Struthio camelus: one gene and its partners. The protein of the gene in region 1 binds, or shares a complex with, the protein of each later gene. Links are inferred from orthologs where the notes say so. Each region holds a gene or a part of one and is shown on either strand. Other genes may lie near its edges.

What was found. The genes of interacting proteins can lie anywhere in the genome.
Region 2: the proteins of GINS3 (region 1) and GINS1 are in contact, whole or in part, in a cryo-EM structure (PDB 8Q6O), measured with the Xenopus laevis proteins. The link is inferred for Struthio camelus from reciprocal best matches to the Homo sapiens genes GINS3 and GINS1. Residues at the interface, in NP_001080618.1 of Xenopus laevis: Trp2, Pro4, Tyr5, Met6, Pro7, Val8, Glu16, Asn17, Phe18, Leu19, Ser20, Leu21, Glu22, Asp23, Leu24, Leu25, Ser27, Gln28, Ser37, Phe39, Pro40, Arg41, Leu42, Phe44, Leu45, Pro63, Trp65, Leu66, Gly69, Leu70; in NP_001085502.1 of Xenopus laevis: Met1, Phe2, Cys3, Glu4, Ile7, Ile10, Arg11, Leu13, Gln14, Ser17, Asp18, Gly19, Gln20, Leu21, Glu49, Arg55, Asp57, Leu58, Pro60, Thr61, Lys63, Phe64, Arg65, Cys67, Cys68, Arg71, Arg74, Cys75, Val77, Ala78.
Region 3: GINS3 (region 1) and MCM6 share a complex: the UniProt entries of both Homo sapiens proteins name them as parts of the CMG helicase complex. The link is inferred for Struthio camelus from reciprocal best matches to the Homo sapiens genes GINS3 and MCM6.

The regions. Positions count from the first base shown.
Region 1 is NC_090951.1:30,427,055-30,434,643, reverse strand, and holds the start of GINS3 (DNA replication complex GINS protein PSF3), read right to left. Parts: upstream 3,076-7,589; 5' UTR 2,661-3,075; coding exon 2,481-2,660; intron 1,398-2,480; coding exon 1,164-1,397; intron 1-1,163. Other genes in the region: diacylglycerol O-acyltransferase 1, read left to right, coding at 5,011-5,117, 7,280-7,367. UniProt on the Homo sapiens protein: Required for correct functioning of the GINS complex, a complex that plays an essential role in the initiation of DNA replication, and progression of DNA replication forks.
Region 2 is NC_090944.1:139,909,466-139,917,211, forward strand, and holds the start of GINS1 (DNA replication complex GINS protein PSF1), read right to left. Parts: upstream 3,082-7,746; 5' UTR 3,030-3,081; coding exon 2,955-3,029; intron 2,879-2,954; coding exon 2,814-2,878; intron 2,702-2,813; coding exon 2,606-2,701; intron 2,291-2,605; coding exon 2,200-2,290; intron 2,096-2,199; coding exon of another isoform or gene 1,898-2,095; exon of another isoform or gene 1,689-1,897; intron 1,427-1,688; coding exon 1,310-1,426; intron 447-1,309; coding exon 372-446; intron 99-371; coding exon 30-98; 3' UTR 1-29. UniProt on the Homo sapiens protein: Required for correct functioning of the GINS complex, a complex that plays an essential role in the initiation of DNA replication, and progression of DNA replication forks.
Region 3 is NC_090947.1:38,880,009-38,887,697, reverse strand, and holds the start of MCM6 (DNA replication licensing factor MCM6), read left to right. Parts: upstream 1-4,608; 5' UTR 4,609-4,795; coding exon 4,796-4,908; intron 4,909-5,635; coding exon 5,636-5,782; intron 5,783-6,327; coding exon 6,328-6,438; intron 6,439-6,982; coding exon 6,983-7,232; intron 7,233-7,689. UniProt on the Homo sapiens protein: Acts as a component of the MCM2-7 complex (MCM complex) which is the replicative helicase essential for 'once per cell cycle' DNA replication initiation and elongation in eukaryotic cells.

The DNA.
Region 1 (7,589 bases):
GATTCTACAGGGTTCTAACTGAAACCCAGTACTAGCGGATATTTTCATTAATGAGCTTAATAACAGGATACAAATTATGCTTATTAAGTTTGCAAACGACATGAGGGAGGAGGAGGAATGACTGCAAGCATGCTGGGGGGGTAGAACTGTAATTCATAATTATCCTGACAAATTAGAGATATGGTCTGAAAACAACAGCAAATACAGGATGAAGAACAATGGTCTGGGTACGCAATCTATACCATTTCACTGTGGACTGCAATCTGAATGTGCATCAATGTCAAGCTATTATGAAAAACAAGAGTGCTGCATCAGAATGAACAAACTGCAGCATGGCCTAAGAAATTCATAAAGTAATTTTTTTTTTGTTTTGTTTTCATCAGCACAAGGCAAGGCTGAAGCAGGAGAATGTATGCTGTTCAGAGCACTGCACTTCAAAGCAGATGCATATCAACTGGAAAGGCTCCAGCAGTGCACAATAAGGACAAGTAAAGGCTAGAAAGCATGACCCACAATGCGATACTGAATGAATTGGGACCATTTATTCCAGTGTGGAGAAACCAGGACTGGGAACACACTCAACAACGTTCAAATACAAAAAAGCCTATTGCAGGAAGGAAGAGAATAATCTGTTCACTGTGTTTACTTTGGATGGAACGAATAGAACAGAGCTTATATTGGAGCAAAGGAGATTTAGTTTAGACAATAGAGGGAGCCTTCTAAGACCAGGACAGTAAAGCACTGAAACAAGATTGCCAAGGGAGGTTGTGAAACCTCCCATCATTAGGGAGCTTCAAAAAAAGTTAGATAAATAGAAATAATATAGGGCGAATTCATTCTGCCTCGGAGCAAGGGCACTGACTAAATAATCTTACCTCTCCTCTAGTCCTGTTTTATTGTATTTTTATGAAATGTCATATTTACAGTAGAAAATTCCAAGCTAAAGCTACACTCCTGGATGCATGCTTGGGACTTCCATTAACTGCACCAGGCTCTGCAGTTGACAAAAACGATCACACAGCCTGATCTAGAAATCCTTTCTCAAGTCAAAAGTCATCTGGATTAAAACAGAATATTTTTTCTGGGTATTGCAGAGCAGTTGGGAACAAGGAAAAGATGGAAAAACATCAAATGAAATTCCATGACTTAGTTCAATTACTTGCCTGCAAGATAGTCTGAGCTATCTCAGGATTCTCTGGATTGTCAAAGTTCAGGAGCTGGGAGCCAAATCCATAGTAGTATGGTCCCATTTTATGCAGATCAACCACATTGGCATCAGCACTGAACACTGTCCTCCAGGCCTCCTTGTAAATCTTTGGCAGTTCCATAGAAATTATTCTTCTCTTGCTGTCATGTAACCCTTTAGCAAGCCACAGAGGTATTTCTAGCTTTGATCCCTGCATGAATGTGACAGAAACAAAAGTTGTCCTCCCCAGGAAAATACGTATAAACCCCCCAAAAAGACAGTGAGCTTTAATAATGAAGAATAAAGTATTACAAAAAGTCAGTTCTGTTTACAAAATTCTACTGTGGCGAAAATATGAAATAGATGCACTTCAGAGGCATTAATTATTTCTGCCAGACTCTGAAAGCATTTTATTGGAGTGGATAGGAGACTATGAAACGCAGGAAGAAAAAGGTGCAAAATGACTACAACAAAGATAAAAGATACAACAACAGCTAAAAGTTTCTTTCCAGCACCCCTAAAAACAGAGGCAAAAAAAATCACTCGTATGTTATCCTCGCAGCAAGAGGGAGGTTGTTTTTCAAGAAAATAACTTGAAACGCAAGTCTTTTCAGCACTAGGGCCCCAGATCAGTCCAGGGCCCCATCTGGAGCCTGCAACACATGGAAAGAAGTCTGCAGTATCGTGGCGAACCCATGAGCTCTCTGAGCCCACATGGGAACAGCAGCCATGCCCTACAGCTTGAACACTGGATGCACGAGCCAGGGAACCATTCCACTAGGGTTCAAAGTGAAGAGGGAATCCATACTTCCTAGGGTTCTTGCCTCTTTGTAACATTTAGGAGAAATAAGACTACAAAACGCTTGAGAAGTGAAGGAAAATTCTAGCTACATAAATCGGCTCAGTGGCATGCTCTGCTCAGACACAGGACGTGCCATACAGATGCTTTCTTCCCTTACAGCTTGTCCTCCGATTTCACCAAGCATCTCAAAGGTCCCATGCTGCAACCAGAGCAGGGTACAGGCTTCTGTACCAAAACCACACGCAGCCCGAGGCATCAGATTGCAAAGCCACCAGGGCCGATTCCTGATCTAACGAGAGGCAGAGGGATACCGGGGGAACCTGCTGGGGAGATCTCCCGTCAGCAGCTCCACGCTACACTGTCCCATGCCACAGCTCGGTGGGGCGGCGCCTACAGCTCCCAGTGTACCCCGCGCCGCCGCACAGGTGCCCGCCCGCGCCCCGCGGCCGCTGCTGGCAGTTGTAGTTCCTGCTGCCCTCGCCCGACGGTTACCTCAGGAATGGAGTCACCCGGACCGGCGCCGGCTCCTTGGCCCAACGCGAAGGCCAGGCGGGGCAGGGTGCTCTCGGCGCGGCCCGGCAGCTTCTCCTGCGACATGAGGATGTCGTCCAGCGACAGAAAGTTCTCCTCGGGCCCCAGCCCGGGGCCCACGGGGAAATACGCCTCGGACATGGCAAGGCGAGCGGACGCGAAGCGGCCCGGACACCTCAGGCCGCGGCTCCCGCTCACTCGGGCAGACTCTATCAGCTGCGGCCAGAAAGCGCGCCCTGGCGCATGCGTCCTGGGGACTCCTCGGGAGGCGGGAGCAAACGATTAGCGACCGCAGGATAGGCACCGACAGTCCCCGCCGGGCCGGCTCCAGTAGGAGGGGTAGCGGCGCTGTCCGTCCCCGTCCCCCCGCACCGGGAGAGCCCAAAGCAGGTGCCTCCCCCCGCCGCGGCGCTCTTGCGCGGCCCTCACGCCGCAACGCCGGCGGGGGCCGGGGGAGAGACGGCTCCGAACGCGCGCGGCGCCGCCGGAAGCGGGGCGGGGCGGCCGGTAACTGCCGGCGGGACGTTGGGCAACGGGAGGCGCAGCATGTGAGGGCGGGGGCTCCCGGTGAGTAACGGGGGCACAGCCGGCCCTCCGGGGCTCCGCCCCGCCCCTTGGGCACGGGCCCACCCCTTCAGCCATAGCCACGCCTCCTACCGGGCACAGCCCCGCCCAAGGGCCCCTCCACGAGCGCAGCCCCGCCCCCAGACCCTCTCGCCTCGGCAGAGCCCGGGCCCCTGAGGCATAGCCCCGCCCCCAGGCCCCTCACAGCTGTAGCCAGGCCCCCTCGGCGGCACAGGCCTGCCTCCAGGCTGCTCCCTGCTAGGCAGAGCCCCGTCCCCTCAGGCACGCCCCGTCCTCGCAGCCCTCGCGACGACACAGACCTCGCCCCCATGGGCACAGCCCCGGCCCGGCCCGGCCCGTGGTACCGCCCCGCCCCGGCAGGGCCCCGCGCCCGCGGGCGGTTGCGGCCCGGCCCGGTGGCGGTCCGTCACGGCGGCGCCCCGCTCCCCGACTGTGCCGCCGAGCCTGCCCTGCGCCCCTAATGGAGGCGCATTGCGATGGTGGGATCAAACGCTCTGGGCTGCGTCCTGATCTTGGCTGTGCTAGCATCAAGCCAGTGTTGCCCTCTGGTTTTATCTGGATTTTACCTCAGATATGTGTTGAAGTAGCAAACTGGAATCGGACCCTGTGCTTTTGTTTGAGTTCATTCTTCACCGCATTAAAGTTGCCTTGCTCTTCCTTGAGCCGTGAATGCTGCAAACGCTGTGCTCTATATGCACGACGATCTGTAAAGTCAGGTTATTTAAAATACCGAGTAAATACTGCAGCCTCTGCCTCCCATCGCGTGTAGCTGCTCCGCTCGGGAAGAGGAGCAAGCAGCTGAGCAGCGCTGCAACCCCGAGACCTGACACTGCCCCCAAAAAATAATGACAGTTATTTGTAGGGATTCTGATGATTTGTTTAAAAACATTTTCAGTATGTAACTAAGGTGTAAGATAATGTCTCTTCAATTATCTTATGATTCTGGTGACCTCGGCGTTCCCTGCCCTGCTGTTTGCTCAACCTGGATTTGCTGCGATTTGATTCTTCTTTTTTTTTGGCTTCATTAATGAGCACACTGGTACTTTAATATCTTGATCAAAGTCAAACGACAAAACAGTCAAAATTTGCACCAGTTTATTAAATCTTGTACTATTTTATCTTGTACTAAGAAAATAACAGTGAAAGAAAAATAAAGCTGCAGAGCCTGAGCCGTTAGGATGAGGCACTTCCATCATCTGCACATCCCTTAGGTACCATGGCAATACATGCTATACAAATACAGCCAGCTAACTACGAAGCAGCAGGTTTAGGGGAACTGTGGTATGCTGGATTTGTGAAAATCTAAGTGCTGTCAATTTGTTAGACAAGTAGCAGGGGTAGAGACCAGTGAGCAGAAGAAATATATGCACATGTGTATGTAAATGTGACACCCACACACATGTGCATATATTGGATTTTGTAATGCCCCCTTTTCCCATTAATAAGGTGCCTTAAATCTTGAAAACAGCTGGAAGGCCACTGCCTGCTCCTGAAAAGAGTTTGTGTAAAAGGTAATTTGTAGTAAGACACTGAATTTTTATCCATGGCACAGAAAATAGACATTTTATTACAGGGAACAATCTTAACTATGGTCCTGTTTTTTTCAATGCGAGAAGAAATCTTTCCTTTTAGAAAATAAATATTTCTGTCGTTGCACATTTTCCAAATGAGTTACAGGGCAATTTACAGAAGCATTTTTTAAAGGATAGTTCTGATAAAATTATAATTTACTGATTAATTAATTAATCAATAAGGATTAATAAGGATTACTAATTAATAAGGATATTCCCTGATTAACTGGGTTTAAGGAACAAAACTCTATGCTAAATATGAAAGCTTGCACTGTTTGAGTGAGAAGAAAGCTACATAACTGGAATAAGCTCTTTTCCTAGGGTGCAGAAGTAAGATGTCTACAAGAAGAAGAAAGAAAACTACCCTTTTTCTATGTCCTGAGATGCCTCAGCCTGTAGCATGTGGTACTGAAGTAAGGCATGAAGACCCAGAGAGACTAAGGTATTGGACAAACTTGAAGGAAGATCTCAAAGGGGAAGATCTTTTCACTCATTGTAAGATCAGCTGATGAGTTGTTCTGTGTGAATTGTAAAGAACGATGGATTTGGCAAGCAAACGTCTCCCCTTTTCATACTACCAGTTTGCCTTCCCATCCCGAGAAAGGTATAGGAAGGCTCTTATCCTTGAACGCTTGTGAGTGAATCTTAATTTAAAACTATGCATAATCAGTCCAACATCCCAAACCATTTTCTGTTTTAATAAATATGATTTCAAGACCTCTCTGAAAGAAAGGGAACGGCTTGTGTTATAACTGACCCTGCTTGTACATTGTGTATGTATAAGCTGGAGGCCTCCTTCTCCTCCTGCATTTGTAGCTTTGAAGAGACAAGAATTGTTCAATAAGCAGAATAGAGAAGGGAGCAGAAGTGTGCTAAGAAGAAGAAAGAGAAAGAAATGTTGAGAGAAGATGGTGGAGGAGGGAGGGAGGTGGTGAGGGAGAGCAGCTGCCAAAACCTGAGGACAGCAGAGCAAAATACTACTGAAGCGTTGACTGTGATGGGTAAAAAACACATCACTCCCAGGTATGGTAGATAAATTGAGGCCAGGGAAAAGTAGAGGAAAGAATAAAAACTTAGAAAGCAAGGGACAGTAGCTGAATCCCACCTATGGACTTCTTAAGTCTCAAATATCAGGAAATTGAGCCTATTTAATATCTCAGATAAGCTCAGGGAAGCAAAACTGTACTACTTGCTGCTTCTAGGGACTTGCATTTGATCAGAGCTGGCTGGCGTGTATGATATGGATGTTGCAGTTGCTGCGATGTGATGTGACAGCATGTGTATGTGCTGTTCTGACAGTGTCAGCTGGTGCTGCTGTCTTGGGTAATTTAAATAAGATTAAAGACATGAAATGAAACAACTGAAGAAGCAGCAGGATATTGATGAGATTACTGGGGCAGGCATTAGAGCAGGAGGTACCACTCCCTGCCACCTCTCCTCACCTGACTTTTCAAAATCAAAGTGAGAGGGGAAACATCAGTCTCAACAGCACAGACAAAGTCTGAAACTGAGCCTACTTCTCCTCTCATTTGGAGTCTCAAGTGCCATATATGCTTATAGCACGACTTGCTTTTACTATTTGTGTTTGTTATCAAGTAATTAGAAACAATGGCAGGGATCCTGGCTGTCTTCATGTCCCTAAATGAGACCACTGATTCCAGTGAAGCCAGGCCTGGCTGAAAGCTTCCCAGGTGCACAGGGACCACTCAGGTGTGTGGCATGCACACATCTGCGAGCAGAGGTTTCCATTTCACGATGTGGGGGCTGAGGGAAGGCAGCAGATTGTACCTCAGGCCCTCCGCCTACATTCCTGCCCTTTCTGAGATGGCTCAGACCCTCCCTTTTCCTTCTGGGACTTCAACTCATAAGAATAGATTTGCATTTCCTAATCAGTTAACTTGCCTGGCAATGGGAGTTATTCTTTGTAAGTAATGCCATATTGTATTTTTGATACAAGCTTTTGCAAGCCCTTTGTTGTGCAAATATGGACCTATAACTCAAATAAACCTATTGGCTTCAGTTGGATTACCTGTAAGAGAGTTAAGTGCTATGTCATATGAATAAATACTGCTCTCTAACAGATAGATTCTGCAGTCTAGTAGCAATTTTATTTTTTGAAGGAAAAGGGGAAGCAGCACAAGTCACTAGTTAAACTGTGGAGATAATCACCTGCCGGTTCAGTTCATCTGCAAATGGGAGAGATTTGGCAATGTTATTAATGATCTACCATGGTCAGGTTTACATCTCAAAGTATCATGTCTTTTCATGTGGAGGAAGGGAGGAGAATCATGGCACATTTTGCAGATAGGAGAACGGCCACAGAAAAAGGGAAGGGATTTAGGGTTACCAAGCATCCTGTGGGAAGGCAAAAGTAGAACTTGGTTTCCCAGCTTCTAGTTATCATCTTTCAGACAGAAGGTAGCAATGTCAGCAGGATCTCTGGCCAGCTTGTAAAATTAATTTCAAACTCCTTTAAGTACCTACCGAAAAGGAAAATTAAAGTGATGAGGTAAACCAGATGTTATAGTTAGTATTGCAAACAGCATTTTTAATAACAAAGTGAAAATAGAATCATTTCTAGAACTCTTCAATATTTTTTCCCAGCTGTCATTCACTGTGTGAATCTCTGTTATCATGTGGGAGTGGATTCAACAATTTCCAAGGCATTTTTAACTGGTCTGTAGTTCTGCTGGTAAGTGGAAAGTCACAACTAGATCAGTAGCAGGCATCTGATGAAGGTTTCTCATTTAAGAAGTGGTGCCATGCAGCTAAAACCTTTCGTGATTTTAATGGGAATACTGGCAAAAATTTTTGGTGCTTCTCGCCTAAGCTCTTGCATTTGGAGTTCCCAGGGTGCCAATTTACTATTCTTTTGGTTTAGAAATGGAAATTGTGATGACTATCTTCAGCAAAT
Region 2 (7,746 bases), on another chromosome or scaffold:
GGAAGGGCTGTCCCTCCGGTCCTGAACGCTTACGACAGGACGTGCTCCAGGACTCCTTGTCTGATTAACTGCTCGCATTTCCAGCGGGGTAAAAAATGCTGCACAAGAACACAGACAAACTTTCCCTGAGACCCAGGCCGCCTGGATGCGTTGCTGCAGGCGGCCTGCTCTGTGCTGCGCCGCCGTGTGTAGCAGTACGAGGTCAAACAGCGGTCCTGGGGCACGCAGGCGGCTTGCAGCGCGTGCGAGGCGCTGGGTGCAGCAACTGCAACGTGCTGCGAAGCTGGGATGAGCAGGGGAGCGTCACAGGAGCGCAGGGGAAGAGAAGGAGCAGGAAAGGGGTTAGGACCCCGCTCGGTTGTCTTTCGTACCTGGCTATTCTTCTTCAGCAGGACGGTGGTGCCATCATCAATCTCAAATTCGCCGTAGTCTTTTAAGCACCGCACCTGCAAAGGCAAAGGGCAGCTCTCTGCAGCAGCAGCTCTCCGACTGAGGAGCACGTCGCTGCCGACGTATCGCACACGCCCCCAAACTGTAAGTACGGGGCCGTTCCTGCCCGCCTGGCAGAGCCTCCGTCTGGGACAGGCACCTGAAACGCAAAACCAGATGGATCCCGTGGCCTGTTCCCTCTATCTGACCTTCTCTTCCTGCACCTGCCTGCCAGCGGGCAGCCCAGGCCCTCCACGGAGGCTGCTGGAAGAGCAGCGCTGCCAGGAGAGGCCCCCCCCACGCATGCCAGAAAATGCCAGGCTGTGAACGCCAGTGAAACCGTCTTCAGGGGCAGGTTTAGTTCCCCTAGAAAGTCTCTTCCTAAGAGACCATCAGAACACAGCGCTGCAGCTCCTGCCTCCGAATCCGTTGTTCAGGTGCTCGTGCTCTCTTGCATCAATTGTATAAAACAACGCTTAGTCTCATCCATGAAAGTCCATTTAAAACAACAACAAAGGAAACTAGTTGACAATCTTCAAGATGGGAACGAGGTTTCTAGTTGATCCAAAGAGTTTTTCGGGAGACAAAATTCAGTTTTTGCAAGACAAATGCTGCATAAAGTTTTCACAGTAATTCAGACCCCCCCCCCCCCCACACACACACACACCGGTTCCCTGCAGGTTGGAAATGCCATGTTTCAACATACTTTGAGCTCTCAGAAGAAGAGAGAGTAAAACACTGGCGGGCAGAGTTTATCGAATGGCTTTGCTCAGTGAACTCCCCAGCTCGGGAGGAAGCCGAGATCTCTAAAGGAGAGTGGCTCGGTCAAGTGCCTCCCGCCACCCCCAACGCAGACAGAAGCCGCCAGTCCTGCACTTACTTCGATGTACAGGCTTTTAGGAGGCTTTATGTCCTGCGTAAGGTCCAGCCCCTCCTCTCCGCCTACTGACCTCATGTAGGTGGCCAGAGATTTTTTGTACCGGTTGAACCACTCCACCTGTGGACATTAACAGCAAACAGAGCTTTATTTCAAGAGGCGGTTTTAAGCCTTTAAAAACAAAACTGCCGCGTTATCACCCACAGATGCAAGATTCTGCTACAAAAATCCAGACTAGCAGGACCAAAGGGATTTGCGCTACTGGGACTAACCAGCAGGGATTCTGCCTAGGACCCAGGGGTCTGCCCTTGCCACTCTTGGGACAAAAGTGATTCTCTCAAGTTTAAGATTAAAGAAGAACCTTTACTGAGAGAGACATCTCCATGCCCCCGCATAGCTAATGCTGAGGGAGGAGGTCCATGATGAATCGGCTCTGGTGTATCTGTGCTGTCAGACCACTGTTCCCAGGCGTGCTCATGCCAGCCGAAGGAGCGCACAAGCTCTTCTAAAGGGAATAAACTGCCCCAGGCACAGGGCAGCCGGGGATCAGACTGGGACACGTGCTGGAAACAAGATCAGCAGCGCTGTACTTCAGTTTACAAATGGCGTTTGAGACGAGCACAGGGAGAGCCTGCCGCGCCGGGTGCGAGGGCGATCGGGTGACGACCTTCTGATCCCGAACGGTGCCAAGCTGCGCCTGCACTCAGCATCCGTTTGGGATTGCATCCTTGGAAGGACAATGAGGAAACAAACGGATACTTGCAGAAAGGCACACAAAACATCGTGCATCTAGAGTGGAAAAAAAAAGTCTATCCTATTTTGACTCGGCTAACCTGATGGTTTCTGGGGAGGAATAAGTGGAAGGGAGGGAAAAGGGGACAAGGCTGACTCACTTCCTCCGCTGACATGTGAAACTGGATGGCGTTTGGCAGGACGCTGCCATACTCCCACCTGAGAGCGCGGATCCGCAGCAACCGGTCGTACCTGGGGGAAGAAAGAAGGGACAGAGAGAGAGAGAGAGAGAGAGAGAGAGAGAGAGACCTCGCTCCAAGGTCTCTCTGCTGAGACCAGCGCTGGCACTACACCTGGGCAATGCAGACACTCGGATCACTCCTCAAAGCAAAGTGCAAAACCGGGGTCGTTCCACCCTCCTTCCTTTCAAGGCGGTGGTTTTGGATCTATTTGCTAATTAAAAGCTTTCAGAGAGCAGGGGGGAAAGAGGGATGCTCCATGCCCCCGACAGCTGCTCTCTGCCGAGGGGCTGAGCCGGAGCGCCCGGTCCGGCACTGCCGCACTCACAGGTAGGCCACGACGCAGCGCTGGTTTCGGAGCAGGCAGCAGTGGCGAAACCGGATGAGGAAGATGAGGTCCGTCCGCCCCGACTTCGCTTCGGACCTGGAGAAGGAGGCGGCACGTTACGGCGGGGCAGACGCCGCTCCCGGTGCCGCCGGGCGTGCGGGGCTCGCCGCGGCCCGGCGGCGGGCACGGCCCGCGGCCCGGCACTCACACGTCCGCCTGGTTCCGCTCGTACAGCGCCCGCATCTCCTCCAGCGCCTGCCGCAGCCCCTCCGCCTGCGGCACCGACACGGTCAGCCCGGGGCCCTCGGGACCCCCGGGATCCCGGCCCGCCCCGCGGCCCCCCGCTCACCCGGAAGGGCGGCAGGTGCCCGCCGGCGGCGCGGTGCAGCTCCCGCACCAGCCCCGCCGCCCGCTCGCCGGCCATGCTGCCGCGGCGCGCGCGGGCGCGGGAAACCGGCCCCGCGGCCCAGCCAATGGGGGCCGCGGGCGGCGTGACGCGCCCCCGGGGGGCGGAGCGTTGGCCCCGGCGGCACCGCGCAGACAGGCGCACGCGATGGGGGGAGAGGGGGGGGCGGTAGCCAGCGTTAGGACGTTCCGCCCCCGGGGAGCGCGTCACGCCGGCTCCCGCTCCGCCCCCGGCCCCCATTGGCTGCGGCGGGGCCGGTTTCCCGCGCGCGCGCCGGGGCGGGAGCGGCGGGCGGCTGCGGGTGAGCGGGGCCGGGGGCGCGGCCGGGGCCGGGGGCGAGGGCGGGCGGCGCTGTGCCCGCCGGGCCGCGGCCGCGGCCAGCCCGGCAGGGCGGCGGCGGGTAACGCTCGTTGTCGCCGCGGTGACGCAGGGGTGGGCTCCGCGGTCGCCCGCGGGCCTCTGCCCAGCTCCAGGCCGCCCTGCCGCGACCCTCGCAGCCCGCCCGGGGGGCGCTCCGCGACGGCGGGAGCTGGATGACGGCTGGACGCTGCTTGCGCTGCGGACCCCAGCGCTGGAAGCCAGGGAAAGGGGTGAGGAAGGAGCCCAGATTCCCCCTGCGGCTGGCCCTTTCTGCTGCTCTCTGAGGGCCGGAGCTGGGAGCTGCCCTTCAGCCGCCAGCGGCGGCGCGGCGTCCTCCAGCCCGGCCGGGGCTCGTGTGTGGGACACAGCGAGCTCTGTCGCCGGGGCGGCGGGGAAAGCACCCGCTGCCCTGGTGTCGGTGCTGCAGTGGTCTCCAGGATCTCTCTCCAGCCCCCTCATCTGTGGGGTCTCCTGGCTCGCTCTCCAGCCCGCCCGGAGGATGCGCCGGGACAGCAGGAGGAGGCAGCGGGATCGTGTCCGTGGCGCCGTTGGGGCCGGCCGGGGAAGCGGGATGGAGACGCCGCTGTCGCCCCTCGGTGGGGAGCAGAGCCTGGCGCAGCGGGTGAGCAGGGAGGACCCGGAGCCGCGGCAATCAGCAGGTCTGTGGGAGCGGGACGGCCCCGGTGCCGCGGTCGACGCGTGTGCGCGGTGCCGGAGCGCGGCTGGGCGGGACGCCCCTGCCGGGGGCTCGGCGTGGCCGAGAGCGGCTTTCCCAGCCGCTCGCCCCGGGCCGGCTGCGCCGCGGGGCCGGCAGCGCCGCTGGGGAGCCCGGGCTGTCACAGCCCGGCCGGGGGGCTGGAGCTGGGGCCGCTCGCCGCGGAGGGCTGCAAAGCCGCCTGCAGCGCAGCCCCGGCCCTGCTCGGGGAAGCGGGGCTTTTGTCCCTGCTGGTGAGAAGCGCGAGCGCGCCTTGATTTTGCGATTTTGCCGGGCTGCGCGCCCTGTGCTGCCAGGTCCTGGTGGCGGGTCCCTGGCCCCTGGCAGCGCCCTCCCTGCCCGCTGCCGGGAGCCGCCTCGTGGGACGCCGGCTGCCGCCGCCCAGAGGCGCTGAAGGCGCTTTCCAGCCCCAGGAGGAGCAGACTTGCGGGTCGCCTCGGCGCACCCCTCGCGGAGGAGCCGCGGCAGGACGCAGCCCGCGCTCGCTCCGCTTCTGGGAGCTGCGTCCCACCTGGCTGCGCTGCTGCGCCGGGGACAAGCGCAGTGGGACCGTGCACGGGCGCAGCCCGCTGCGGGGTTTTGGCTCTGGGAAATAAATACACACTGGAGCGGTGCAGCCCCCCCCCCAGCAGCAGCAGCAGCGCGACACTCGCTGTGTTCAATCCAGGGTTTGTTTATTTAGCCCCAGCGCCGCTCTCAGCAGGCCCCTTCCTCGCCCGCCCTCCGCAGCCCCTGCTCGGGGCGACCTGCCTGCGACTGGAGCCCGGCACCATCTGCGCACCCTTGGGCGGGGGGGGGAGGCCACCGTCGCTGCAGAGACCATCTCCAGGGACGAATCCTGCCCCGGCATCCCCTGATCCCAGGGTTTGGGACTTGGCAGCCCCAGGGATACAAATATCTCACTGCACCCCCCCCCCCCCCCCGGGCTTGGCCTCTTTCTTAAAGGCATTGGGTCAGTGCTGGCAGAGACTAAGTGAGGTGTGTGGGGACAAAAAATCAGCGAGGCTTTTTTGCCCCCCCACAGCTCACTTAGTCCCTGTTGCGGAGGGGGCGTAGGCTTGAACCAGGCCCAGGGTAGGCTGGGGAGGGGGGGCCAACACCCTTCCCTCAGCCTCTCCCGGGCTCGGGCTCAGCCCCCGCCCCCCTCCACAAAAAAAGCCTCGCTGATTTTTTGCCCCCCCACACCTCACTTAGTCTCTCCCTGCACCGGCCCCATTGCTCCCAAGGGGATTTCTCCTCCTCTTCAACCCACCCACCTCGTGCCCTGTGCGGGGGGGTGAGCGGAGCGCTGGCTCGGAGCAGAGAGACCCTGTTTTCCCCCAAAGTGAACCCGGCTGCTACTGTTGGGGCTGTATCCAGCAGGGCCGAGCCAGGTGCAGTCCTGGGGGACGCGGGTCCGAGGACCGGGAGCTGCTGCCGGGGCCGAGCTGGAAAGGTCGCGTCCTTGCTGCGCTGCTGCGCCCCGCAAACGCGGTGGGCTCCCCCTGGGTCTTTGCCTCCTGCCCAGTCCAGCTGTTCAGGCTGGAACAGCCCTTTCCAGGGGGGTGAACCCAGACATTGACCCGCGGACGCTTTGCTCCCTTCGGGACCTGAAGCCCCCCGGGGCCTGAGGCAGCCGGTGCTCGCCCCAGCGCCCCGGGGACCGGGCTCCGCAGCTGCTGAGGACGCGGGCTGGGCCAGAAAAGCTCTTCGCTGCGACGGCAGCCCTGGCGCCGAGGCTGCCGGGCCTGTGGGGTTGCTGCCGGGGGCCTGTCCCGGCTGTCTGGCTGACGGCACCGCGCGTGCTGCAAGGGAAATAAAACATGCGGAAAAATATATTAAACCAGCCATAAAAAGGGGATGTGCTGTAAAACGACCCGCTCGGGCCCACAGCTGCCAGCGGTTCATCTGCACAGCGATCCCAGCCTCAGGATAACGGAGAGGCCACGTGAGCAGGCAGCTCGCTGTCCCGCCTAGAGCCACCATCAGTTTACTGCCCCTTCCCATAGGGCAGGATTGGCGATAGGACCTGACTGCCTCCTTGAACAGCAAAGAAAGCGGTTGAAAAATACCTGGTCAGAAACGTATTTGCATACTCCACGGGCAGATCGCCGCCTCCTGCAGCGGAGCCGTTCCACTTTTCCTTCCCCGTCAAACGCTTCGTCGGCGTGCCTGGAGACGCCACACTGAGGGACCGTCACCGTAACCTCAGGGAGAAAAGAAATAATAAAGATAGATGTCTATCGGCCACGGGCCTTCATTCTGGCGCTGTTTACACGCACGCAGTCTAACTTATCGTTACAGCTGGCAGAGCCATTTTTCATGTAAGCACAACTGTAGACGCTTCCTTAAGGCCTTGCGGGGGCCGCGCGCCCCTCCTCTAGCCAGGTGCAGCGCTCACGCAGGCATCGCCTTCCCCACACCCGTGCCTCAGTGAAACGAGCAAATGAATTATTGCATTACTGCTCGGTATATTTCAGCAGTCCTTAAAATCCTCAGATGAAATGAGGCCAAGGTCACGGTCAGAAAGCATCGTCTCAGAAGAATCGCGCGACTTACCCGGACGAGGCTGGCGAAGAGCGGCACGATTACTGCCGCGCTCTCCCTTTTGCGGACGGGAAGCTCGAGTCCGGCTCCCCGTTGTTTCGGAGGAAAACATACAGAGTCCCCCGAGTGAGTTAGCGCCAGATGCTTCACCGCCACCAGGTCCACCCGCGGCCGGGGCAGCGCCGGGCCGGCCAGCAGCTCGGACCCAGCAGCTCCATAGGGGCGCTTACAGCCAAAACAGCCTTTTCAAACCGCCGATCCACATGCTGTTAGAAGCCCTTAGCCTAAAGCTGCCCAAGGTGACAGGCCCGTGTTAGCACGGTGGCCCCTGTCCCCAAGCCTTCCTTTCCGTCAGGGTATTTAGGCTGAAGAACAGGACTCGGAGGGGCAGCAGCAGCCCAGGGCGCACACCGAGAGGAGGGCAGCAGCCGCATGTTGTCCACGGCCAGCGAGTAAGGCGGCACTCACGGGCCCGAGCGGCAGCGACAGCGATTCGGGTTATAAATCAGGGAAGCCTGTCCAACAGCACCAAGCCAAATCTACTGCGGAGGGCTTACAGCCTCCCAAAGCAGCGTGTTTACAGCAGGCTCGACAGAGCTGTGCGTTGTCATGTAACACAGGGAGCTGGACTAGGTGACTTCTCCCTATTTTTTTGGTCTTAGGTTATTTTCTTCATATTTCATCAGAGAACAGGTTTATTCCCAGGTTGAGTCACCTACCACCAACCAAGCCCCAGACTCGCACGGGTGCCAAGCGGGTGCACGCCGGACAAGCAAGCAGAGAAGTTCGCTTCTGTCGGGCGAAGCGACTGCGCCTAGGCCAAAATAAGCACCCCGCGTCACCCGTTCACCCCCGGGCAAAACGAGTCGGGGGCCGCACGAGACCTCGCCGGTTTGTTCGAGCCTGAGCACGCACCACGAAGCGGACCCGCGGCTGTGCCCGCGGCCAGCCCCGGGGATACAGCCGCGGCAGTCGGGAGATAATCAGTGATTTTAAAACACAAAAAAAAATCAGCCAAGGGAAGCGCCCGCGCAGGAGATCTACGCGCTGGGCGAGCACCAGCCCACGGCAGCAACAGACGAAGCGCGAGAGCCGCGTCGATGCTAGCTGCCCGCACGGCGATGCAGGTATAAA
Region 3 (7,689 bases), on another chromosome or scaffold:
AAAATTTCAGTTACCTAGGAAAATAATCACTGAAGCATAACTTACAAGGAAAAGAATTTTTTTTTTCAAATATACAGAATTTGATGCCTGCATTGTGGTGAATGGCGCAGAGTCAAGTTGGAGGCCTGTAGCTAGTGGTGTCCCCCAGGGGTCAGTCCTGGGTCCAGTCTTGTTCCATGTATTCATCAGTGACCTGGAGGAAGGGACAGAGTGCACCCTCAGCAAGTTTGCTGATGATACTAAACTGGGGGGAGAGGCTAACACACCAGAAGACTGTGCTGCCATTCTGAGGGACCTGGACAGGCTGGAGAGGTGGGCGGAGAGGAACCTCCTGAAGTTCCACAAAGGCAAGTGCAGGGTCCTGCACCTAGGCAGGAATAATCCCATGCACCAGGACAGGCTGGGGGTTGACCTGCTGGAAAGTAGCTCTGCAGAGAAGGACCTGGGAGTGCTGGTGGACAACAAGTTAAACATGAGCCAGCAGTGTGCCCTTGTGGCCAAGAAGGCCAGTGGGATCCTGGGGTGCATTAGACAGAGTGTTGCCAGCAGGTGGAGGGAGGTGATCCTGCCCCTCTCCTCAGCCCTGGGGAGGCCTCACCTGGAGTACTGTGTCCAGTTCTGGGCTCCCCAGTACAAGAGAGACATGGCGCTCCTGGAGAGAGTCCAGCGGAGGGCTACCAAGATGATTAGAGGGCTGGAGCACCTCTCCTATGAAGAAAGACTGCAAGAGCTGGGCCTGTTCGGCCTGGAGAAGAGAAGACGGGGGGGGGGAATCTGATCAATGTGTACAAGTGTCTGAAGGGAGGGGGGTGTCAAGAGGATGAGGCCAGCCTCTTCTCCGTGGTGCCAAGTGACAGGACGAGAGGCACCGGGCACAAACTGAACCACAGGGAGTTCCATCTGAACACAAGGAGAAACTTCTTTCCTGTGAGGGTGACAGAGCACTGGCACGGGTTGCCCAGAGAGGTTGTGGAGTCTCCTTCCCTGGAGATGTTCAGAAGCCGTCTAGACACGATCCTGAGTAACGTGCTCTAGAGGCCCCTGCTTGAGCAGGGGGGTTGGACTAGATGGTCTCCAGAGGTTCCTTCCAACCTAAACGATTCTGTGATTCTGTGATTCATATTATTTATATTTCCAAGGGTCTGTGTCTACAGCTAGATATAGAAAATACTGTTAATGACCTAGAGATTAAAAGCAAGCAAAAATGATGAACAAACGTCATGGTCTCTTCTTCTATTTTCTTTTAGCAGCATTCCCCAAATCCACAATTACCTGTGAAAGGGAAGCTCTAAACAGGTTAATTCCGCTAGACAGCAATGGTCTCTTCTGATATGATACTAAACTATAAGGTGTTAAAAGAGTTCACTTACTTGTCTTTAATCTTACTAACTCAAAAGTCTTGCATGCTTTCATTGCAATGACTACAAGGTTATAGTTGTTTCATGTTCTGTGTACTTCCAAAAAACCCTGATATTCTTGCAGATTTGTCTCCTGAAGCTTGAAATGATTTGTTTTTTTAACTCATTCATAAGGTAATTGCATAAGTTTAATCAGCTTTTACTTTATGTAGAAGGAAAAGTGTTTCAGTCACACACTGTGCTCCTAACTTTGTATTCTCATCCTTTATCCCTTACGGTTTTCCCGATAATAATAAAATGAAGATTAAACAACTCTGAAAGACTTCTCTTGTAGGAAGACCTTTCTCAGAGAAAATACCAAGCTCCATCTGTTTCAGTTTCCAAACAAAATTTGTAGAGTCTTTCAGAGTCTTTTCTCAGCTGTGGGTTATGTGTGATTTCCCCCACCCCATCCCTTACTGTGCTGCTTTTACTAATACAGTGACCAAGAACTAAAAGAGAACAGACGGGCTGGGAGCATGTCAGCTGGATTCTACTGCTGCTGCTATCCTGTTACCAACTGATGGCAAGATACACAGCCTCCTCTCACTTCAGTTCTCACAACCTGGGCATGTTGCTTCCCACTGCTATATCTGAATGGTGAGCTTATCTTTATCAGACGCTTTAGAAGCACTAGAGATGTTTGCATAGAAGTACTTTTTAATTACTTTTAATTGCTCTTTCCACAACCCAGACCTGTTGTGCTCATGCATGATCAGGTCAGACTCATTACAGCTGTGGGACAAAGTAGAATCCAAACAAATAACTTCCCTGGACTAGGACAGCTTCACGCAAGGCCAGCTCAGGTTTATCTGTATTTTAATCTAAATACTGAGAACACAGTGCAAACACACTTAAGTGTTTCTAGGTAGAGACAGCCGGCTTCGCTCAGACTTATTAGCTCTGTCTCAACAGTAGAACTCTAAGCAGGAGCAAGATGGTGGGAAGCAACTGGATCCTGTGCAACAAAGAGCCAATTTCCTCATATAAGGCTTGAGCATGAAAATGTTGGCTACTGCTAGGAAACTACAACAAAGAGCAGTTAAGTTTCAGCTAAAGTGACTCATCTGCAGAGGGATAAATATAATCACCTATGTATGTCACTTGTGCAGCGTCCCTTAGGGCAATCTCTGGAGAAATGTCTGCATTAATCATTGACTTTAGTTCTTCAGCTGTTCAAATCAACAGCCTCAATCAGCAGCCATGCCTCAGATACCTAAGCAGAAATCGCAACTTTGAGTCCTCTAACATAGAGAAAGCAAAATGATACACAGGAAATCCTGTGAATGTCAAGGGCCACTGGGTTTGTTTGTTTTTTCAATGCAACAATGATTTCTTAAGGGCTTTGGATTACAACAAGTTTTACAGCAGTGATAAACCCTTCAAAAAGCTGATAAGGGAGAGAACAAGAGCTTAACTAAACAACAAGCAGGAGGGCCTCATGAGGGGTCACCTGGCCCCAGCTGATTGTTTACAAATATGTGTCATGTAGAGGCAGCTGTCAACACACCACCGTCTCTGAAATGAGGCTCATGAGGATGACAGGAAAAAACTTTCAGACTGTAGGCAGTAAGGTAAGTACTTCAGCCTTTTAGCTCTTGTGTGGCTACAAGAACAAATCTGTATTCTTTCCAAGGCAAGCCTTCCTCTCTACGGCTATAATGGAAACAAATTCTCCCTACAGTGCACTGAGTTAGCTGTTACCCAACCCTGCAAAGCTTGAGGAAGGAGTTCTGCTCTCTGAAAAAAAGATGTGTTTTCTTGACAGTCATAACTTGAGTATGACTTACACAAACAGATTAAGTATTTGCTATTCCTTGTTTGGGTATTATCAGGGTATGCTTGGGGGATGGGGGAGAAATCATTCAAGATTGTCCCTGGTTAGGGTTTTTTTTGGTAGAGAAAAATGATGAAGAACAGCACAAATGATTGTTCTAGGGTGAATTATGATTTGTTTTAAAAACAAACAAGCGTCAGAATTAACACGCTGTTGTGCACACTTTTGCTAATACAAACAAGAATGGAACTTACTCACTACAAATCTTTTAGGAAGTAGTTAGTTCTAATATTTTCTTGTTTTCTTTGAATATAACAACACTACTGCAGGAAGTTTGTGCTGCTGGTACATTTTTAAGTATCTCAGAAACAAAAACAAAAAAAAAATTCAGTCCTCAGCTGCCTTAATCACAGCAGAAGTACCATCCAGTGTAGGTGGAGAAATTAATGTCTTTCCAGGTAGCAGAGCAATTCCAAGCAATTCTTCATTAAAATAGTTGCTGCTGGCACCTATTGCCAGCATCAGCCACCAGCAGTCGCTCAGGGGCAGCTGTCAGTCATGGCATCACTTGACAAACATTACATTATACTATCACACAGTTAAGCGCTGCATTACAAATGGAGCTAAGTAACTCCAAACCAAGGCCTGATTCTCACCTGGTTTAAAGCAGGCTCTTTTCACATGAGGCTAGTCTTTCACAAGCAGAAGGTGTTGTTGAAACACTGCAGCCCATCTTTGCCGGCGAGAAGGGCCCACAGCTGCCCGAGCAGTCACCCTCACACAGTGCAGGGCACACAGCACCCTGATTCTTCACCACTGCCCTGGATGTACCAGCAGAGTTTTAACCGCAATTATTCTAACTTTTTTCCTTCTCTAGGAAACCAGCAAACTGTAAAAGTCAGACCAGCCTAACGCTGTGCTAATTTGATCCAGATGAGGCTAACACACACCAGCCCACCAAGCTGCAAAGCCACGAGTAGTTACTATAATCACACATGGCAGGCACCTCCTTGCTCAGAGAATACATTTTTCTGTCACAGATTTAAGTCTTCAACTGCATTTACAAGTTCATTGAGCAGAAGCACAGCACCACGGCAGGGGTAACCGCTGTTGTGGGGCACAGGGCGCTGACGACAGCGGTCAGGGTCAGTTCCCCAAACCCCGAGCAGCCGCCAGCCCTGTAACACCCGGGCAGTTACCTAGAGCCCTACCGCAGCCTACATCCAGCCTCTTTAAGCCTTTCCCCTTGGGGGGGGGGGGGGAGGGGGCAGAAATTCACCTTTCCACACAAGGCGTCCCGCCCCCGCGGCGGACTAACGGCCGACCAACGGCCGCCGCCGCGCGCACGCGCGCAGCGTGACCCCGCCTCGCGCCAGCCCTGACGCCATCGCGTTTGGCGCGAAAGCGTCCGCGCGGGAGAGGGTGTGGGGGGGGTGGTGTGTGGAGGGCCGGCGGGGCGGGGCGGGGCTCTGCGGGTCGGCGGCCGCCGATTGGCCGGCGCGGCGGAGCACGTGGGTCCCGCTGTGGCGCGAACCGTTGCCGGGTGCGTGTGGCGGCGGCGGCGGCAGCGGCAGCGGCAGCGGCAGCGGCAGCAGCAGCAGCAGCAGCAGCAGCAGCAGCGATGGACCTGGCGGCCGTGGCGGGGGGCGACGCGGGCGCGGCGCAGTCGCAGCCACAGCTCCGCGATGAGGTGGCCGAGAAGTGCCAGAAGTTGTTCCAGGACTTCTTGGAGGAGTGAGTGCGGCCGGGCGGCGGCGGGCCGCGGGGTGCAGGCGCCTCAGGGAGGAGGCCGCCATTTGGCGAGGGCCGGAGCGCGGCGGGCCCCCCCCGCCCTCAGGCGGGAGCGCCCCTCCCCGGCCGCTTGGGCTCACCGCTGAGGGCCCTCTCTGTTGCGCTGCGGGTTGTCAGCCTCGGAAGGGGCGCCGGGAGGCAGCGGGCGGCTCTCCCTCCATTTGCAAAACCCCTGCGAGCTCGCTTCTGCTGCAGCTCTTCTTTCAGGCCTCTTCGCTTGGTCGCTTTTCGCAAAGTTTGGTGGCTGCCAGCTTCAAAATCCCCCTCGCGCCTTGCTTCCGGCAAGTTAATACGTTGGACTTCCGAGGCTTCGCTTTCCAGGGGGTCCTTTAGCACAAACAAGGAACCTGGGAGCGCGATCGGCCCCAAGGAAGCCAAACCCGTTCGCTTCGGTAGAGTCATCCTTAAACCATAAATAAAATCCCGGGTGATAAACCAGCTATGTGAAATGCAGACCCGGTTCTTTCTGTCTGGGGCCTTTATAGAAGAAAGGGGACAGGAGGAAAGAGGCTGTTGGGAAAGACATTTGCAAGGGAATGTGGGATGCTGTGTTTTTCCGGGATGCCCCGCGGCATATCCTTTCCTTCTTCTCCTCTGTGGCGTTCAGAAGCGTTCAACTGCTGCCCCATGTATAACTGCGAATGTTTTCTTGAACCATACTCGCTTTCAGGTTCCAGAACAGCGACGGGGAGGTCAAATACTTGCGTGATGCTGAAGAACTGATTCGGCCAGAGCGGAACACGCTGATCGTAAGCTTTGTGGATTTGGAGCAGTTCAATCAGCAGCTTTCTACCACTGTTCAGGAGGAGTTTTACAGGTAAAACGTAGAGATTACCTGAGAGCCGAGCAATGCAGTCTCAGGCCCATAAGGTCTTAACAAATATTCATCTGCTTTCACTAGGGTGAAAACTCTTACCATTTAAAACATGTTTTTTATTGGATCAAAACTTTTTTTTTTCTTACCGGACTGATACTTATTACTTCTGTCTCTTTAAGAAGCACGACTTAACTAGGCAATTGCATTTACTCTGGTAAATAGGTGATCAGTATGGAAACATAGTGTAAACTTTAGCACTTCTTACTCTGAAAATGTTTTATTGATCCAATGACTGATTTTCAGGCTCTACCACTTATTATATGGGTAAACTGGCATAAAATAAGCCTCCTTGGATAATAAAGCAAATGGTAATATGCAGTAGTCTCACATTTAGCATATTTAGACTAGCTTTGGTGTGTTCTTATATAGTGTGGCAGTATAAGACAGAACCTGCAAATGGATGGTACAAGCCTTTGACACAGGCTAAAGTGAAAAAGACATTGTGATAGTTTCTGTAAAATTTGAGCTTATTTTCTGTCTTTCAGAGTTTATCCTTATCTCTGCCGAGCAGTAAAGACTTTTGCCAGAGACCATGGAAATGTTCCTTCAAACAAGGACTTTTATGTCGCATTCCAAGATCTACCTACCAGACACAAGTAAGATGGTTACTGATTCCAAAAACTGGTGTACTTATGTGTGGGGAAAGAAATGTTCAAGCATACTGAAAATGTTTTGACTGTGTAGCAAGAAATTTCCAGTTTATCAGTGCAATTGTGAAGAAATTGCCTAATCTTGTGCAGAGTATGTTCTGAAACACTTCATCTTCTATGAATCATGCAGACACTGGGCTAGATGGGAAGGGACTATATCACTAACGTTCACTATGTCTCTAATATATCACTCTCACTAATATCACTATGTTCATCATATTCGGCAGACACATGTAGCTTGTCTTTTTGAAAAAGGATTTAGGTTAAGTTATTTTTTGAAGCACAACTGAAGTAACTTTTAGATGAATATTTAAGCTCAAACCAATATTAAAAGTTTCTGTACAGTCATAAAATGAGAAAACATTGTAGCTGTTCTTTAATCACAGACTGCTGAAACTACCTAGTGTCTTAGTACTTGAATACTACACTGGGCATAAAAATGCCAATTCAACTAAGAACTCAATCCCTATCAATTTCGTGTTTTAAACAGAATTCGAGAATTGACATCAGCAAAAATTGGCTCACTGATGCGTATCAGTGGACAGGTGGTACGTACCCACCCAGTTCATCCCGAACTTGTGAGTGGAACCTTCCTATGCCTAGACTGTCAGACAGTGATTAAAGACGTGGAACAGCAATTTAAGTACACGCAACCAAATATCTGCAGAAACCCAGTCTGTGCCAACAGAAGGAGATTCCTGCTGGACACAAACAAATCAAGATTTGTTGACTTCCAAAAGGTATATTGGTGGGGGGTGTGGGGAGGGACTAATAAAGACTTTCCTGTGCTAGTTGAAAGGGTATTGTTTGCACTGCTACACATTGATGGTAGTTAATTTTAGTTCTGTCAGCATCAAGAAAAGGCCTCAAGAAAATGCATGGGAGTTTCTACTAACAGTTTCTTTCTGTCTATGGAAGACTTATTTTTAAGCCTTGGGAAGTTATAAATAGAATCAAAGCAGCTTTATCACATGACATTTATTTTCTAAGTAAGCCAGAAAAAGCCCACATATTTAGGTCACTGTCAGTCTCCTCTGGCAGGTTCATCAAGTATAATTATTTTATACAAGTATAAAAAGAAGTGTCTCTAGTCTCTTCAGTGTTTCACTCCTTTAGATTGTTTTACTTTGCCAAATCCTCCATGCATCAAATCTTACAATAATATTTTGCATTTGTCCCATTAATTGGAATGTTTTA